4 linked regions of the Macaca fascicularis genome follow. The protein of the gene in region 1 interacts with the protein of each later gene in a biochemical or structural test. Links are inferred from orthologs where the notes say so. Each region holds a gene or a part of one and is shown in the gene's direction. Other genes may lie near its edges.

Region 1 (4,295 bases):
CTAATTCCTTAGAGATTAAAAATTAGCACAGAAGTTGCCATTCAGGCTAGATTTTTTAATGTGTTGTTTAAATAAAAAATAATGGCCTGCAGGCTGGGTGTGGTGGCTCACACCTGTAATCCCAGCCCTTTGCGAGGCTGAGGCAGGAGGATTGCTTGAGCCCGGGAATTCAAGATCATGCTGGGCAACATAGCAGGACAGTGTCTCTACCAAAAAAGTGGCCTGGCATGGTTCTGAGCGCCTGTAGTCCCAGCTACTCAGGAGGTTGTGGCAGGATTGCTTGAGCCCAGGAGGTGTAGGTTACAGTGAGCTATGACCATGCCACTGCACTCCAGCCTGGGTGAGAGAGCAAAACCCTTTCTCAAAAAAATTCATAATAAAAAAAAAAGTCATGCATTTTTTCTTCTAAAAACTACAAAAAAGTTACAATTAGTGTAAGTAAATAAGTCAGTAATAATCCCACCACATAGAGAACAACTGTTAGCATTTCTGTGTATGGTATACTTGAGCAGATGAAGAAACAGTTTTAAGTCTGTCTGCCATTAGGCACACAAACCTGGGATACTGAAAATATTTGTTGTCCAAAATTACCGTTAATTAAATGAAAAATGCATCGTTTAACAGAAGACTTCAAATAATACTAAACTCTAGGATCTGTTCTAAAAGCTTCCCATATATTAATAACATAATTTTTCTCAAAACAATGTTAACCCAAGTAGCCTGGCTACAAAACTTGAACTCAAGTCATCTCTCAGGTTGCCTGGGTTTGAAACTCAGCTGTGTGTCACTTCTGTGACAGTAACTATGTGACCTCAATTAAGCTTCTTAACATCTCTGTGCTTGTTTCCTCATTTATAAGGATTGTAATAATATCTCATTTTATAGGATTGTTGAGAAGTTAAGTACTTAAAGTACTGCCTGGCACAAAGTTGAAGCTTTGAGGTTAGCCTTTAAAAAAAAAAAAGAAAAAATGATTTTGGGCTCAAATCCTATACTTTTAAATTTCCTTTAAAAGATAGTGACATTGAAGGTCTAGTAGAGCTTAAGATAATCGTGCTATAGGCAAAATTTAAAGTGATTAATAGTAAATTTGCTTTACTGATTTGTATATTTAATTCATAATTGTTTCTTTACAGGTTTCTTTACCTCCAGAAAGAAGAATATTTACCCCTTGAATTCTGGAAGTTCATTGAAGAATCTGAAATTAAGGACTTATTTCAAATTTGGACATGGCTAATCGAGGCGCAACAAGACCCAACGGGCCAAATACTGGAAATAAAATATGCCAGTTCAAACTAGTACTTCTGGGAGAGTCTGCTGTTGGCAAATCAAGCCTAGTGCTTCGTTTTGTGAAAGGCCAATTTCATGAATTTCAAGAGAGTACCATTGGGGGTGAGATTTTCTTTTTTCCCTGCTTCATTTAATCGAATCATACGTTGACAAAGTATTTTGATGTTCCAATTGTGTGATTATGAATAGCTAAGTCATAGAGTGAAGAAAAGAGCTGTTCAGCTTACCTTAAGCTTTAAAACTTGCCTTTATTTTTGTGAAAATGATGTGTTTTTACATTTGATTGTTTGGTTAATCCCTTGTGGTTATATTGTCGCTAAAATACAGATAAAAACATGAGTAGAATCAGTGTCTCAAGTAATATGACTTGACCTGATACCTATTTCTAGCTAACAAGTAGAAGCTTCTTCAAATTAATACAGTACATGTTTGTGCTCAATTATATTGGTTTAAAATGAATAGTAAAAAAAAGTAACCTTAAATTCTGATCTATATAACTGAACTATTTGTAAATCATTATACTTATTTGTAAAATTAATTAAATATAATTAAATACTGCTAGATGTACTTTTTTTGTTGTTATTTAAGAGATGGAATCTTGCCTAGGCTGGAGTGCAGTGTCCGGATCATAACTCACTGCAGACTGCAGCCTGGAACTCTCAGCTCAAATGATCATCCTGCCTTAGCCTCCCACTAAGTAGCTGGGCCTAAGGGTGCTTGCCACCATGCCAGGCAAGTTTGTTTTTTTTTTTTAAGAGTCAGAGTCTCGCTGTGTTTCCAGGTTGGTCTTGAACTCCTGGCCTCAAGTAAGCCTCCATTCTCAACCTCCCAGGTAGCTGTGATTATAGGTGCTCCCTGCTAAGATGTACATGTAAGAATGCTCCTAAGCTGAGGGAAGAGAAAAAGTGATTAATGGAAAGGGACATGACAGGAAAATGGAACCTGAAGAAAAAGATGAAATGAGAAGGGAAAGAATAGGCACTGACAAGGTGGTCATGGTGCGACAGAGATGAGGGGAAGGTAAGATGCAGGGTGAAAAGGAGACAGCGAACAGTACGGTATTGTCAAGAGAGGGCATGAAGTGGGAAAATTGAATTTTAGCTGGGCGTGGTGCTGCATTCCTTTAGTCCCAGGTATTTGGAGGCTGAGGCAGGATTATTTTAGCCTAGGAGTTCAAGTCTAGCCTGGGCAACACAATGAGAACCCATCTCTTTAAAAAAAAAAAACAAAAAAAAATTGACTTTAATCAAAGAAACCTATAATTATATAGCTGTGGGACAAGAGAGCCTCTTTTGGGCCGCTGTTTAATCTGTGAAATGATGCTTTTCAATTAGATGAAATGTGGGAAGAATGACACAGTTTGAGATTCACGATATTTTGCAAGTGATACATAATTAAGCAATGCTCTTTTCTGAGGTATTTGTGTATATGTTTTAACCCCATCCTGTAAAATTAAAGTCAAACTGTGGAAATAAGACAGGTAGATACCAGCTGGCATGTGGCAACTTCTTGGAATCTGTCTTTCAGAAGCAAAACTTCATACTGTGCATTTAGTGAGTGTTCTTCAGCAAATATGCTTGAGAATGTTATTCATAATCTTAGACCCATTCTAGTAAGATAAGTTACAGAACTCTACTACCTCCTGGCCTTTGTATATCTTGTTACAATGTTATATTAGAATATTTTATGTTTTTTCTAATTGCTGAACATCAGAAAGCATCATGGAGCTTTTGAGTCAGAAGTCTTGACATTTTAAAAAATGTTAATACACAATATATTAGACATCCTTTGTGATCTTTTTTTTCCTTGAAGGTACATCCACATGTGATTTTGTTGTTGTTGTTGTTAATACACTATATCCATTTTAATAATGAAATACTGCTTCTCTAGAAGGTTTCGCTTCCTCCAGAAGCAATTTAATCTAAAGCTAACTGTTAGTCCAGTAGGAAAAGGTTAAAGAATGCCAGATCATGTACACCCACTTACTTTACTGTTAATGGCAGCATTTCCCAAAGTATATATGCATTCTGGGTTAAATACCTGGGCCAAATACGTTTGGGAGTTACTATATGCTACTCTTTTCTCCTCTCTTTATTATTTTATTAAAATAATAAAAAATCTGAAGTACTGTAGTATAGAACTTAATTCCTGGGGAGCTTTGCAAGAGCTTAAGGTTAGAATTTTTATCTTGTTTTGGGTAATCCACTTCTAAGTTTATTTTTTCCTAATGATAGCTCAAGAAGGGTGTTTAAAAGAAAAATGTAACCCATATCCTGTGTATCATAAACATATCTCTGATACGTGTGTATCTCCATATAATCTCCATGTAACACCAGTTAGATTGTCTTGATTTCATTAATGAATTTTTCGTAAAGATTTTCATTTCTATTTGTAGAGCTTCCTATTTAAAAACAAAAATGAATTTGCATCCAAATTTCTATTAATCCTTTTTTTTTTTTTTTGAGACAGGGTCTCTGTCGCCCAGGCTAGAGTGCAGTGGTGCCGCCCTGGCTCACTGCGACCTCCGCTTCCCAGGATTGAGCGATTCTCATGCCTCAGCCCGCCAAGTAGCTGGGACTATAGGCGCAAGCCACCACTCCTGGCTAATTTTTGTATTTTTAGTAGAGATGGGGTTTCACCATGTCGGCCAGGTTGGTCTTGAACTCCTGGCCTCAAGTGATCCGCCCGCCTTGGGCTCTCCAAGTGCTGAGATTACAGGCATGAGCCACTGCCCGTGGCCTTTCTGTTAATCTTTATTGGGTACTTTTTCACTGTGCTGACCCCATGTGAATACTATTCAGGAGGTATGACAGTACCATTATGATTATAGCTGTGGAAACTGTTCTTTTATGCTCTGTACTCATAGCTTTTCACCTTTAGGAGCTAGAGTAGATGTAAAACATTTAAGAATTTTAAGGTTTGAGCTATTTCATGATCAACTCAAAAGGTCTATAACTTGCAGGTAATACGTATTTTTGTTTTGACTGACAGGTAGTAGAAGTTAC
Region 2 (4,295 bases), on another chromosome or scaffold:
GTTTATTCAAGACATACATTTTAAACTTGAGGTAATGAGTTATAGATGCTTCTTTTCAGAATACTTCAGTATCACTGTTTTTAAGTTATTTTGTAAATTTAATCTGTACTTATGGACAAACCATCCTACTCCTTTTATTCCCTTTGTGCTTCAGATACTCTGACAATATGATCTGGACTTGAAATGGTAGGAATTTCTAGCTAAGGAATGGGAGGAGGGTGATTTGAGGAATTTACCTGTTGCTAGAATTCGAAGGTCCCTGCTTTGATGTCTGAGAGAGAGATCAGAACGCAGGAAAGTATGATTTTAGTGTGTGTCATATCCTTAGATTGGGCTGCTCATTGACATGGTTCATCAGCCCTAGGAGTTCTCACTTCCCTTAGGGTTCCCTCTCTGCATCACCCCTTCCACCACCGTCGTACTGACTCTCTTGATCTTGTACATGTGCTTCCTATATTATAGATCTGGAATATTTGTGTTCTGGACCTTCTATTAACCTGATAAGTTGAGAATATGATCCCAGTAAAACATTTTATCCCATAGCAGTATATGTATGGATTTCAATTCTTTTTAGGTGGCTGCAAAATTCGGGTTCAGGGGGACTGGATCAGAGAGCGCCACTTTGAAATCCCTGATGAGGAACACTGTTTGAAGTTCCTCTCAGCTGTCCTTGCTGCTCAGAAAGGTAACTCAAGACTCAGCAATTTTCTTTCTTCTATTTCAATGGGAGTGGAATTCTGACATGCTGATACAGAGGAAAGTGGCCATTGGCAAAATACCTCACCCTTTAAGCCCTGATAGCTGATTTTTTTTTTTTCCTCAGGAGTGAACACAGGGATAGGTTAGGGAACAAATCTGCCTAGCTTTTAGGACACTAGGCCAGTTTTCAGAATATTCAGTGTCATGGCAAGCATAGATTACCATAGACTATAATTCTCCTTCTGCCCGCAGATGACCCCAGAGCTGCCCTCATTTCCTTAATTTCTTCCACTGTATCCAAAGATGGTGCTGGCCCCTGCTTTTAACGAATGTTGAAAGAATGGCTTTTGGCTATGGTAAATTCTACTCAATGAAAGACTTCCCAGTTTCTGACCGTGAACCTTATCTCTCCAGCTCAGTCACAACTTCTTGTTCCAGAGCAAAAGGACTCATCTAGCTGGTACCAGAAATTAGACACTAAGGACAAACCTTCTGTTTTTTCAGGTACTAAAAAGTTCCTGGTTCCCTTATTGCTATGGTCATTGCAGAGTCAGTGGATTTTATCAGGCCAAATATGGTGATGTAGATTAAAGCCAATGTCAGACACATTCTCCTGCAGAGTAGTTTTATCGAGTCCAGACCCACTGACCAGCATTCACTCCTTATCCTTTCTGTAGCATGGTAGCTGTTCAGGAGCCAGCTTAGCAGGATAGTAGAAAGTACAAGCTCCAGAGCCAGACAGCCTGGGTTTGAATCCCAAGTCAAGGACTTACTAGTTATACGACCTTCATCGAGTTACTCAACAACTCTGAACTTCCATTTTCTTTTCTGTAATATGGGAAGATTTTTAATAGGACTAACTTTGTGGGTTTTTTGTGATGATTAAATGAGATAATGATATATTCCCTTACTGTCAACCAGGCGTTGTGCTAAGTCTTCAATAAATGTTAGCTATTACTGGTCTGTTCCAAGTTATTGTAAACTGTTGTTCTAATTAGTATATCAGTGCTTCAGGAATGGGTATGCTTCTTCGAGCCCCAATCCAAGTAATTTCTACCCTTATGGTAGCTTTCTGTTTAGTAATACCACTGATCAAATGGTGATCAAATCAAAGCCCTGTTACCCTGGATATGTTGGATGTTACATTTTTTCCCCCTTTGACTTTGGGGTCTGTGTCTTTCAGGGCTTCTCGGATTTGAAGACAATTTTTCTTCTATGAATTTGGACAAGAAAATAAATTCACAAAATCAGCCTACTGGGATTCACCGGGAACCCCCACCTCCACCCCCTTTAGTGAATAAAATGTAAGTCCCATGTGAAAACATATTTCCCCTGTAGGAGAATTATAGTTTAAACAATTTTACTTTTGAATCTCTCGTTTATTTGCTAGGCTTCCACGTGAAAAAGAAGCTTCTAATAAGGAGCAGCCCAAAGTGACCAACACCATGCGGAAGCTCTTTGTACCAAATACCCAATCTGGGCAGCGGGAGGGTCTCATCAAACATATCCTGGCAAAGCGAGAGAAAGAATATGTCAACATTCAGACTTTCAGGTTAGTGTCTCTTTTGCTTCCTGAGTCTAAAAAGTTAGTAGGTATAACAGACAGTGGCCTGTTGATATTTAAGACATTAGCCTAATTAAGAATCAATGATAAAAAGAAACGGTCGCCTGTTTCAAGCTCCTGTCTCTATGCTGGCCAATAACATGCATATCAAAAATAATGCAGATGCTACAGTTTCCCTTGGATTTTCTCTTTTTTTATGAGTCAGGGTCTTTCTGTCACCCAGGCTGGAGAGAAGATCATGGCTCACTGTAGCCTCAACCTCTTAGTCCTAAGCAATCTTCCCACCCCAGCCCTGCAAGTAGGTGGGACTACAGGTGCACACCACCACATCCAGCTAATTTTTTTTTTTTTGAGACGGAGTCTCACTCTGTCACCCAGGCTGGAGTACAGTGGCACGCTCTCAGCTCACTGCAAGCTCCGCCTCCCAGGTTCACACCATTCTCCTGCCTCAGTCTCCTGAGTAGCTGGGACTGCAGGTGCCTGCCACCACTCCCGGCTATTTTTTTAAAAATTATTTGTTTGTTTATTTATTTTTATTTTTAGTAGAGACTGGGTTTCACTGTGTTGCCCAGGCTAGTCTCAAATTCCTGAACTCAGGCAATCCACCTGCCTCGGCCTCACAAACTGCTGGGATTATAGGCTTGAGCCACTGTGCTTGGCCTTCCCTTGGACTTTCTAACTACTAATTTATGCCATGTCTACTAATGTCTCTATCGAGTCCTAGAGAACCAAATCAAGGTCACGTGTACTAGGGAATTTTCCCCTAGCACATTCCATAAGCAAGCGTGTTTATATATCTGGCCTGCTAAGTTTTTTTTTTTTTTCCAGCCAATATTAGAAAGTTAAAGTCCATCATTACCACTAGCTCTTAACTTACTTTGGTAAAGAAAGTTTCACCCAGTCCTCTTGATTGGGAGGTCTATCTTGGATTCTTTCATCTGTATTATTTTTTATTTCATCTTTACTTGTTGACATCTTCTTTTCTGGACCTGTGTGTATATGCTGCATGTGAGGTACCATGTGGCATGTATCACCAATGCATGAAGCAACACCACCTTTCTTTGTTATTCATGAGCAGAATGTACCCTTCTAGTCCAAGATTCTAGTCCCATCTGCTTTCCTGTCATGCCTCATTTATTCTAATTCAATCATAACTATATCACTGTGCTAAAACTTCCAGTTCCTCATATTGCCCACTATGCTTATATTTGTGTGTAAACAGTTAAGACAGTCATGAGTTTTCCCTTCTGCTTTCCCCCTTAATACTATGTCTGCCTCATCAGAATTTCCTACACAGATGTCCTTGTAATCCTTCAGGAAGTGAATTTCTGGAGTCAACTACAGCCCCTTATAGAACATTTATCCATATTTGACTAGCTTACAGCATGAAGATACCTCTTTCCCATCCATAAGCTCTCCTTTCAAGTATGAGTTTGGATGGAGCTTAATTGAAAGGAAATGTGGTATAGCAATTACCTTTGCATTTTTAAAAATAGAGACTTGGTTTCCTCTGTAGTTTTACTTAATGTAAAATTTAGAGAAAATAAGCCCACTGCCTTTGTGTTCTAGATGCAAAAGATCTTTCTTACATATGTAGCAAAACATTTTGAGGAATTATGTTAGCATATTGTGAACATACCTTTGTATAGAAGTGAAAAGAAAGACCTTCTGTTGGTTTATACTTCATCTTTGTTTTCAAATTATCTTTTCATATTATGTATTAGGTTTTTTGTTGGAACTTGGAATGTGAATGGCCAGTCTCCAGATAGCGGGTTAGAACCTTGGCTGAACTGTGATCCCAGTCCTCCTGATATCTACTGCATTGGGTAAAGAACACTTCTGGAATTTCCTTTTGGCTATATGTTTGGTGTTAGTTTACATGATGTTTTTGCCTTTTTTAGAAAAGAATTTGGTAAAACCTACTGTAGACTATACACGAGAGTTAACTTGTGGGTCAAATTTGTGAGAACAGAAAGGAACAGATATCTAAAATGGTGTAAGGAAGCATCTAACTTTCTTGAAACCCATAGGA
Region 3 (4,295 bases), about 92 Mb from region 1:
AATTTATATTTTAAGTGTAACCAGAAGCATTCTAACAATTCAGAGTTACATTCAAACTTTTGGTTTGCTTACTTTACTAATATTAGTCCTTTTTAAAAAAAATTAAAATAGGAAACTGCTGCACGAGTAAATCAGTCAGCTCTGGAAGCTGTCACTCCTTCCCCATCTTTCCAGCAGAGGCACGAGAGCCTGCGGCCAGCCGCAGGGTAAGTTACCACACTGTGAGTTATTTAAAGAAGGATATGGGCTATTTAAAGTATCTGTGATCTGGGATTATGTTTGTACTGAAACATAAGACTTCTCATTGACTTATAATGTTGTGTTTTCTTTTTTCATAGTTTGTTAAATATTTAATATCCAAAAGGGAAAATTAAATGGAATGCCTTCTTGTTTTATGCTTAGACAATCTCGGCCACCGACAGCTCGAACCAGCAGTTCAGGATCCTTAGGATCTGAGTCTACAAATTTGGCTGCCCTGTCTCTAGATTCCCTTGTTGCCCCAGACACCCCAATACAGTTTGACATAATTTCTCCTGTGTGTGAAGATCAGCCTGGCCAGGCAAAAGCCTTTGGCCAGGGAGGCAGGTGGGTGATAGCATCACAGGTACATTGTGCTGTGGTCTGTAAGGCTTATAATCCGCTGTCTACATTTGAGAGTCATCTCTTATTTATCATGTACATCAGCTGTGTTGTACTTTCTTTGTTTAATTACGTAACATACTGATAGTTAGGGAAGAACCATGCAGGTTTTTCCTCTATGTCTTCTGCCTCAGTTAAGGAGTTAAGATAATTTAGTTTCAAAACATTTAATTCTGTATTGCTTATTAGGTCTACTTCTTGGATATTTGCTCTTAAAATTGCAGAAGAAAGTTGATAGCCCTGTCTTTAGGTCATGACAATTTTTTAAAAATTCTTGAGGATAATACACGTGATATGGGTTTATTAGAAAATATTATCTTATACCAGAAAAAGAAATCTTCAGGAAGTTACTAAAACATTATCACTATTATGAATTATTAATGAATCATCTTTTATTTATATAATGAATATTCTCACCAAAGCAGTTAAAATTTTTCCTTGGCTGTGGTTGAAGGAAACATGACTTAAGGCAAATCATTTATTAAGTAGAATGGACACCTAATGAATTGATCATATATTAATTTGGATATACATGGCTATGACCCACAAAAAGTCATTTACACATCACAGAAATACACTTAGCATTTGATGTAATAGAACACATACTACAGATATTAATTTCCTTTTATCTTAATGTCAGTGTTTTTTTAGAACCACTTAGCTCTCTGCTTCCAAAACCTATTTTGTTTTGTTTTGAGACGGGGTCTCACTCTGTTGCCCAGGCTGGAGTGCAGTGGCATGATCATAGCTCACTGCAGCTTTGACCTCCTGGGCTGAAGGGATCCTCCTGCCTCACCCTCCTGAATACCTGGGACCACAGGCGTGCACCACCACACCCAACTAATTTTTAAATTTCTTTGGTAGAGAGGGGGTCTTCCTGTGTTGCCCAAGCAGATCTCAAACTCCAGGGCTCAAGCAGTCCTCCTGCCTCGGCCTCCCAAAGTGCTGAGATTACAGGTGTGAGCCACAATGCCCAGCCCTTCAAAACCTACTTTGAGTTGTACTTTTCTTCCTTCACTGTGGTGTGCCACAAGCCATGCACACTAAGGAGGAAGGTAACTTCCATCTCCAGTTCACTTTTCTTTTTGCATTGTTACTTGTGCTTTGAGAAATACAGGTTTAAACTAGATTATAGCTAACTTGCAACATATACTTACAGAAGTAAGTAAAAACCTAAAAAGAAGTTTTTACAATTCCAGGACATTCTTAGCATTTTTCTCAAGCAGCTAAGATTGCAGTTAAATCAGTGTTCCTCTGTGCTGGTTTATTTAAATTCAAGAACCTTTGCAACATGGTTTATTATTATGTTGATTTTTTGTTGTGTATGGCTAAACTTCCAATTCATCTGTGTCTTCTAAAGTGCATGAACATTGATCAGTTAATGTGTGACAACAGAGGCCTTCATCATAGTAATTTAGTGATCAATAGTGTTTCTTAACAGGATGGGGCATTTTAGAGCTTTCTTTTTACAATGTTAACTCTGGTTTTAATGATTATATTCTTCTATGTGGCTCATGGTAACTGATCATTTGTTCATATTTTTTTCTGAACTTTTTAGGCGTACAAATCCATTTGGAGAATCTGGGGGAATTATAAAATCTGAAACTGAAGGTAACACAGATGTGCAGCATTCATATTTTAGAACTGCTTCTCAGCAAACTGAAGAATTTATTGTTTATATTTGTTCTGCTGCTAAGCTCAGTTTTCATGTTATCTTTACTTCAAAATTTCCTCTACTTATAGTACACTTGAAACAACAGAACTTAATCTGACTTAAGATGTTGTGATTCATACAAAACTATAGACTCACACTTGTGACCTTATAGTCAAATTCTCAGTGCCTAAGATACCTTTCAAGCTTTTCCTAACAGCTGATGTTTCACTGCTGGTACTGGAGCATAAATTTTGTTTTTCCACCACTAACTATTCATTTTAATTCCAAACTTACAGAAATGCTGTAAGAACCACCAGTTGTGTGTGTGTGTGTGTGTGTGTTAAGAGACAGGGTCTCCCTATGTTGCCTAGGCTGGTCTCGAACTCCTGGGCTCAAGGGATCCTCCTGCCTCAGCCTCCCAAAGTGCTAGGATTACAGGTGTCAACCACCACGCCTGGCCTCAGAACCACCAATTGTTGAAGCATTACTTTTAGCTATTTGAATTTTAAACCCTAATTTTCCTGTAACTTGGAATGCTGTAGTTAGGAGTTATTTTGAAATGTATCCCTTAAGTTGTTGAATTTTTCACTGGAAAATCTAAAAGGAGGCAATGTATTTTATTCTTTTGGAAAAGAAATATGGCATTTAAAAATATATAATACACCTTGTTCTGTTATAGATTCTATTCTTCATCAGTTATTTATTGTCCGATTCCTTGGTTCAATGGAGGTGAAATCAGATGACCATCCAGATGTTGTTTATGAAACTATGCGCCAAATCTTAGCTGCCCGGGCCATCCATAACATCTTTCGGATGACAGAATCGCATTTATTAGTCACTTGTGACTGTTTAAAGTAAGTAAAACCCTCCCTTAAAAAGCTGTAGAAAAAACATGTACATGATTTCAGCCTAATTAAAATTTGTTTTCCAATTTTTAAATTATTATTTTAGGTTAATTGATCCACAGACACAAGTTACAAGGCTCACGGTGAGTTCCACATGATTTAAGCTTTGTTTTAGGTCCCTTTGTATATATACACATTTTACAATTTGATAATAATCCTAATCCTGTATATTCAAGTGTGATAGGATCAGCTATGATTGGTCTTTGGCTGTTATAGTTAAGTCTGTGGCCATCTCCAAAAAGTTATCATGGAACAGTTTATGTAACTTAAAATAATTAACACAATTCTTATCATTGTGTTATCATTGAACATTTTATGTAACTTAAAAGAATTATCATTGAACATTTTATGTAACTTAAAAGAATTAACACAATTCTTTTTGTAATTTTTTAACAGTTCTTTTTGACTTTGTAAAATGTGTTAATGACTAATAAAATAAATGTAATATTCAACAACCTCTTTTTCTGCTTGTTAATTCAAACCAAATATGACATTACTTGTTTCTGCACTACCAGTCTGTTAAAATAATTGGCTTTAATATATTACAATATTTATATTTTTAGAACTTAGCTTATGAGTTTGTCACAAGTGCTGCTGTAATGACTTGTAAAATCTCATGTTTGCTTCTGATGTTTTCTGTGGCAGTTTCCATTACCTTGTGTAGTTTTGTATGCTACACACCAGGAAAATAAGCGCCTTTTTGGATTTGTTCTTCGGACATCAAGTGGGAGAAGTGAAAGTAATCTGTCATCAGTCTGCTATATATTCGAGTCAAACAATGAGGGGGAAAAGGTACATGGCTTTGCAGAATATCTCTGTCATAACTACTTACTAAGTGATTCTTACTAAGATTTAATAATTATTAAATTCTTACTAATTAAATTACTTAGTAATTACTGATTGAATTCTTTACAATTAATACAAATTTATGAGGTACATGTGAATTTTGTTACATGTATAGAATGTACAGTAAGCAAGTCAGGGTATTTAGGGTGTCCATCACCCAAGTACAATACATTTTTGTTAAGTATAGTCACCCTACTCTGCTGTCAGATATTAAATATATTCCTTCTATCATAATTTATGGTTGTACCCTT
Region 4 (5,046 bases), on another chromosome or scaffold:
CACTTAATCTCTCCAGCCATCAGTTCTCTCATCTCTGTTATTGGGTAGTTCAGCTTAATGCTCTGTAAGGTCATCCTACTTGCTTTGCATTTTGATGACTTCTTTGATATCTGTAGGTTAGAGCGTGCCTGATGTTAGGGCTTATTGACTGTGTCTTCTGCTCTTACTCTTACCCTGAGCCCTATCTTTCTAAGCCAAGAAGCAGCATATACTATGGTTACACCTCTTCAGATACCATCATAGATTCAGTCTCCCTCTTCACACCCTGCTGGAAGAAGCAGAATAAGTAATTCAGACATACTTAAATTTATACTTGAGTGGGCCAGGCAACTGTTTCATTCTGTACTTAGTTCCTGGCTTCTTAGGGAATGCCAAAAATGAGTGGAATCCTTGATATTTTTGAGACAGAGGCTTTGACTAGACAGGACTGTTAGGATTGCCGTTTTAGTTAAACTAAAGGTCTGTGCCCTACGCAATTTAAGTTCCAATTGAATGGCCTGTTTTACCAATATCCAGGATTATTAGTCATCTTGGCCTAGACAGGTCTAGCTTGTACTGATTTATATTTCAGTAGGTTTAACAGTAGCGAAAACCAGAGCTCAAACCAGTGCAGTGATGAATGTTACAAAGTTTAGCAGTAAGGTGTATGTAATACTTTAGCCTAAAGACTTTCCGGTGAGTATGCTCTTCAGTACCTTGGCCGTTCTGCCTCTGGCCACACGTGGCATCACACAGATGTCTTCTGCACATGGAGTGTAACCAGCATTATGCTCAAAGTTAACAGGAGAGCCTTTTTTTTTTCTTTACTTACCCTTCAAAAATAAGAACAAACAACATTAGTCTTGGCAGAGGATGTTTACATAGACCTTTTGCTTGGGATAGAGATTCAGGGTTGCAGAGACAAGCCTTATTTAGACAAGCCTAAATAAGTAGGCATTATTTATGTTAAGATATTTTAATTTGAAACCAGGAGTTTTCCTTTTTTACTTACATACTTTTTTTCCTTTTTTACTTACACTTATATACATGTGTACATTCATATACATATTTTTAATATATAGGTTTTCCTCCTCAGGCCTATTCTGTTATGAGCCTAAATATTTTTAAATGGCCAGTTGTTTTACTGAATTAATCCTTTTATTATAATCTTACTAGTAATTGAGTAGAAATAGTCTCATGTTGCTATCATGAGATCCTAAGGTGGTTGTGGCATGAAAAGGTCTTATATTCAGCTATTCGGGAATCACACACACACTGTAATGGCCACAGAAATATTTTTAATCATGGCAGTATGTACCTAATGTATAATCTGTTTCTATAAACAATGGAGCCATACGTTCCTTTTAGTCTAAGCTCACAGCTGTGTATAGATTTATTCACATGATAGTTTTCTTAAAAGCTAAAGTTAGAGAATTGTATTATGTTATTTCTTCTTTATTTTTGTGGAACATTATGTTCATTCTCTATTACTATGTTGCCTGATTCTTGGGAGGGCTGTTATATCTCTATTGTCCATTTTCAAGAAATTAGAAAATATGTGAGAAAGCATTTAAGACATGCTTTAGTGGAGGTTTATGTCCAAATAAGAAGTCATACTCCAATGGATTGTCATTGTTGCATGAAATTATTTTTCTCTTATATTGTTTACAATGTATTCTTTCTTGAATTTTCTTCTTTCAGAGAAGAGTTCCAGTCACAAATGCATATATGATGCATTTTGACATTTACTGCTAAGATGAAATACAGAAATGAAACCACACATCCATTTTAGTATTCTCAGATGTGATTAGATGTACTTGCTCATGTTTTTATGCTACTGACTTATAAGGAAAAAAATATATTTTAAAAGGGTAACTGTTAAAACAGCTAGGACCTGCAACTTCATTGCTTCTGGGATAAACTGGAACATCAGAAGGACAGATTTTATTACAGCATAATCACACCTCATTTCTTTCATCAGCAACTGTCACCAGACACTTTTACTTCCTAGAATGGCGGACAGTCTTCCCACAGAGTTCGATGTGGTTATAATAGGGACAGGTTTGCCCGAATCCATCCTTGCAGCTGCATGTTCAAGAATTGGTCAGAGAGTTCTGCATATTGATTCAAGAAGTTACTATGGAGGCAACTGGGCTAGTTTCAGCTTTTCAGGATTGCTAACCTGGTTGAAGGAGCATCAGCAAAACAATGACATTGGGGAAGAAAGTACTGTTGAATGGCAGGACCTGATCCATGAAACAGAAGAAGCCATCTCTCTTCGCAAGAAGGATGAAACTATCCAACACACAGAAGCTTTTTGTTATGCCAGTCAGGATATGGAGGACAATGTTGAAGAGGTTGGTGCTCTGCAGAAAAATCCTTCTTCAGGGGTGTCTAGTACCTTCACTGAAGTTCTGGATTCCGCAGGCTTGCCTGAAGACAGCCAGTCATCAAATTTTAATAGCGATGAAATGTCTGCCAAACACACTCAGAAAAGTGATAGAGAGATTTCACTAGAAGTAACTGATGTAGAGGAATCAGTGGAGAAGGAAAAGTATTGTGGAGATAAAACTTGTATGCACACAGTTTCAGATAAAGATGGAAATAAAGATGAAAGCAAATCTACAGTAGAAGATAATGCCAATCAACCAATTAGAAATAGGATTACTTACCTTCAAATAGTTAAAGAAGGGAGGAGGTTTAATATTGATTTGGTATCAAAACTGCTATATTCTCAAGGATTGCTAATTGATCTTTTAATCAAATCAGATGTTAGTCGTTATGTAGAATTCAAAAATGTCACTAGGATTCTTGCATTTCGGGAAGGAAAGGTAGAACAAGTGCCTTGTTCCAGAGCAGATGTCTTCAATAGCAAGGAACTCACCATGGTTGAAAAGAGGATGCTAATGAAATTTCTCACATTTTGTTTAGAGTATGAACAACATCCTGATGAATACCAAGCTTTCAGGCAGTGTTCATTTTCAGAATACTTAAAAACTAAAAAACTAACTCCCAACCTTCAACATTTTGTACTGCACTCAATTGCAATGACATCAGAATCATCTTGCACTACAATAGATGGCCTTAACGCAATTAAAAACTTCCTTCAGTGTCTCGGACGGTTTGGCAACACTCCCTTTTTATTTCCCTTGTATGGCCAAGGAGAAATTCCCCAATGTTTCTGTAGGATGTGTGCAGTTTTTGGTGGAATCTATTGTCTTCGTCATAAAGTACAATGCTTTGTAGTCGACAAAGAATCTGGACGATGTAAAGCAATTATAGATCACTTTGGTCAAAGAATAAATGCTAAATATTTTATTGTGGAAGACAGTTACCTTTCTGAGGAAACATGCTCAAATGTGCAGTATAAGCAGATCTCTAGGGCAGTACTCATTACAGATCAGTCTATACTAAAGACAGATTCAGATCAGCAGACTTCCATTCTGATAGTTCCTCCAGCAGAGCCAGGAGCTTGTGCTGTACGGGTCACTGAATTATGTTCTTCAACCATGACATGCATGAAGGACACCTATCTGGTACATTTGACATGTTCATCTTCTAAAACAGCAAGAGAAGACTTAGAATCAGTGGTGAAGAAATTATTCACTCCATATACTGAAACAGAAATAAACAAGGAAGAACTTACAAAGCCAAGACTCTTGTGGGCTCTTTATTTTAATATGAGAGATTCCTCGGGAATCAGCAGAAGCTCATATAATGGCTTGCCTTCCAATGTTTATGTCTGCTCTGGGCCTGACTGTGGCCTGGGAAATGAGCATGCCGTCAAGCAAGCTGAAACACTTTTCCAGGAGATCTTTCCAACTGAAGAATTCTGCCCTCCACCTCCAAATCCAGAAGACATTATCTTTGATGGCGATGATAAGCAGCCAGAGTCTTCTGGAACCAATAATGTAATAGTGGCCACACTAGAGTCCTCTGAGGAAGGCAAAAACCAAGAAAGCCCAGAGAAGCACCTTCAAAATTAGAAAAGAGCAATCTGGAAATGCTGTTTTGGACCTCCTTCATGGCATCAGAATATTCTCATTTAAAGGACAGTTTCCCATATGAGTAATTAGAAGTGGTTATATATGTTGAATGCTATGCAGATGTTGTCTTTAACTCTCAGACATTCAGCATTGAATATCTTTGTTAACCTATCAATGAGTGATTTATTGATTATTGAACATTTTGTTTAGAATGGGCTACATGACCCATAATCTTAAAACAGAGTTAGCTGTATTTTAGTATTGGGTATGTATGTAAGGGTTCCATATTAACAACTCAGCTTAAAGGTAATGTTGTATTTGCTAATGATCTTCAGATTTTATCTTTGTCTACAGAACAATTAGTAATACCCAAGTAATATTTTAATTACTTTCACAGCTATTATAGTTGCTGCGGCCTGTTCGAATAGTGAAACACACACAAATGGTAAATTATGTGGATCTTTTGCATATAATATAAATGTTTAGACATGGTGGTAGGAATAGCAACTAATACAAATGCCAATATGATAATAAAATTCGTTTGTCTATAATCGTTAAAAGATTAGCTTTGCATGATGCTTTATTCATTGTGAAGGTCTGAAGTTTATAATACCCACTTCACTCTTGTAACTGATGAGGCAATGACGCCACCACAGTGTTCTAATTTACAAAAAGAATTGGAGTTCAATTAGTAGTTGAAAAACTCATTTTGGGGAGGTTGATTGCAAAGAAAATTTGAAGGATAAGATTTATTCTCATTTAATACTTCAGAAAATTTCTGCAGAGCCCTGCTTTGGCACTTAAAGAGCTTCCAACAAGTAACTTAGACCAAAAGGAAAAATGAAGTGCCCCAGGAGAAGATACTTCAGAAGGGCTGTTCTGAAATTCCTAAGGAGAAACAGAGTGAAGCCTTTTTAACCTGGGATTACAGATAGTTATAAAACCCTCTATAAATAGATTACCCAAGGTTTTTCAGTGAGAATGAAACCTACCACCTTGTTGGCTCTACCACTTTAATTAATATTACTAACATAACTGATAGGAATGAATCAAAGGAAGATTTACCATGCCCTTTTGGTTG

Evidence for each region.
Region 2: the proteins of RAB5A (region 1) and OCRL form a complex in vitro, tested with the Homo sapiens proteins (2 studies listed by BioGRID and IntAct, with this or other methods). The link is inferred for Macaca fascicularis from reciprocal best matches to the Homo sapiens genes RAB5A and OCRL.
Region 3: the proteins of RAB5A (region 1) and APPL1 form a complex in vitro, tested with the Homo sapiens proteins (2 studies listed by BioGRID and IntAct, with this or other methods). The link is inferred for Macaca fascicularis from reciprocal best matches to the Homo sapiens genes RAB5A and APPL1.
Region 4: the proteins of RAB5A (region 1) and CHML form a complex in vitro, tested with the Homo sapiens proteins (2 studies listed by BioGRID). The link is inferred for Macaca fascicularis from reciprocal best matches to the Homo sapiens genes RAB5A and CHML.

Annotation. Positions count from the first base shown.
Region 1 is NC_088376.1:28,474,393-28,478,687, reverse strand, and holds part of RAB5A (ras-related protein Rab-5A), read left to right. Parts: intron 1-1,136; 5' UTR 1,137-1,229; coding exon 1,230-1,392; intron 1,393-4,295. UniProt on the Homo sapiens protein: The small GTPases Rab are key regulators of intracellular membrane trafficking, from the formation of transport vesicles to their fusion with membranes.
Region 2 is NC_088395.1:135,829,606-135,833,900, forward strand, and holds part of OCRL (inositol polyphosphate 5-phosphatase OCRL), read left to right. Parts: intron 1-574; coding exon 575-685; intron 686-1,113; coding exon 1,114-1,203; intron 1,204-1,882; coding exon 1,883-2,003; intron 2,004-2,089; coding exon 2,090-2,251; intron 2,252-3,987; coding exon 3,988-4,089; intron 4,090-4,295. UniProt on the Homo sapiens protein: Catalyzes the hydrolysis of the 5-position phosphate of phosphatidylinositol 4,5-bisphosphate (PtdIns(4,5)P2) and phosphatidylinositol-3,4,5-bisphosphate (PtdIns(3,4,5)P3), with the greatest catalytic activity towards PtdIns(4,5)P2.
Region 3 is NC_088376.1:120,345,759-120,350,053, forward strand, and holds part of APPL1 (DCC-interacting protein 13-alpha), read left to right. Parts: intron 1-111; coding exon 112-206; intron 207-402; coding exon 403-585; intron 586-2,197; coding exon 2,198-2,250; intron 2,251-2,972; coding exon 2,973-3,147; intron 3,148-3,244; coding exon 3,245-3,281; intron 3,282-3,843; coding exon 3,844-3,990; intron 3,991-4,295. UniProt on the Homo sapiens protein: Multifunctional adapter protein that binds to various membrane receptors, nuclear factors and signaling proteins to regulate many processes, such as cell proliferation, immune response, endosomal trafficking and cell metabolism.
Region 4 is NC_088375.1:7,536,218-7,541,263, forward strand, and holds the start of CHML (rab proteins geranylgeranyltransferase component A 2), read left to right. Parts: upstream 1-1,894; 5' UTR 1,895-1,960; coding exon of another isoform or gene 1,961-1,991; coding exon 1,992-3,965; 3' UTR 3,966-5,046. UniProt on the Homo sapiens protein: Substrate-binding subunit (component A) of the Rab geranylgeranyltransferase (GGTase) complex. Binds unprenylated Rab proteins and presents the substrate peptide to the catalytic component B.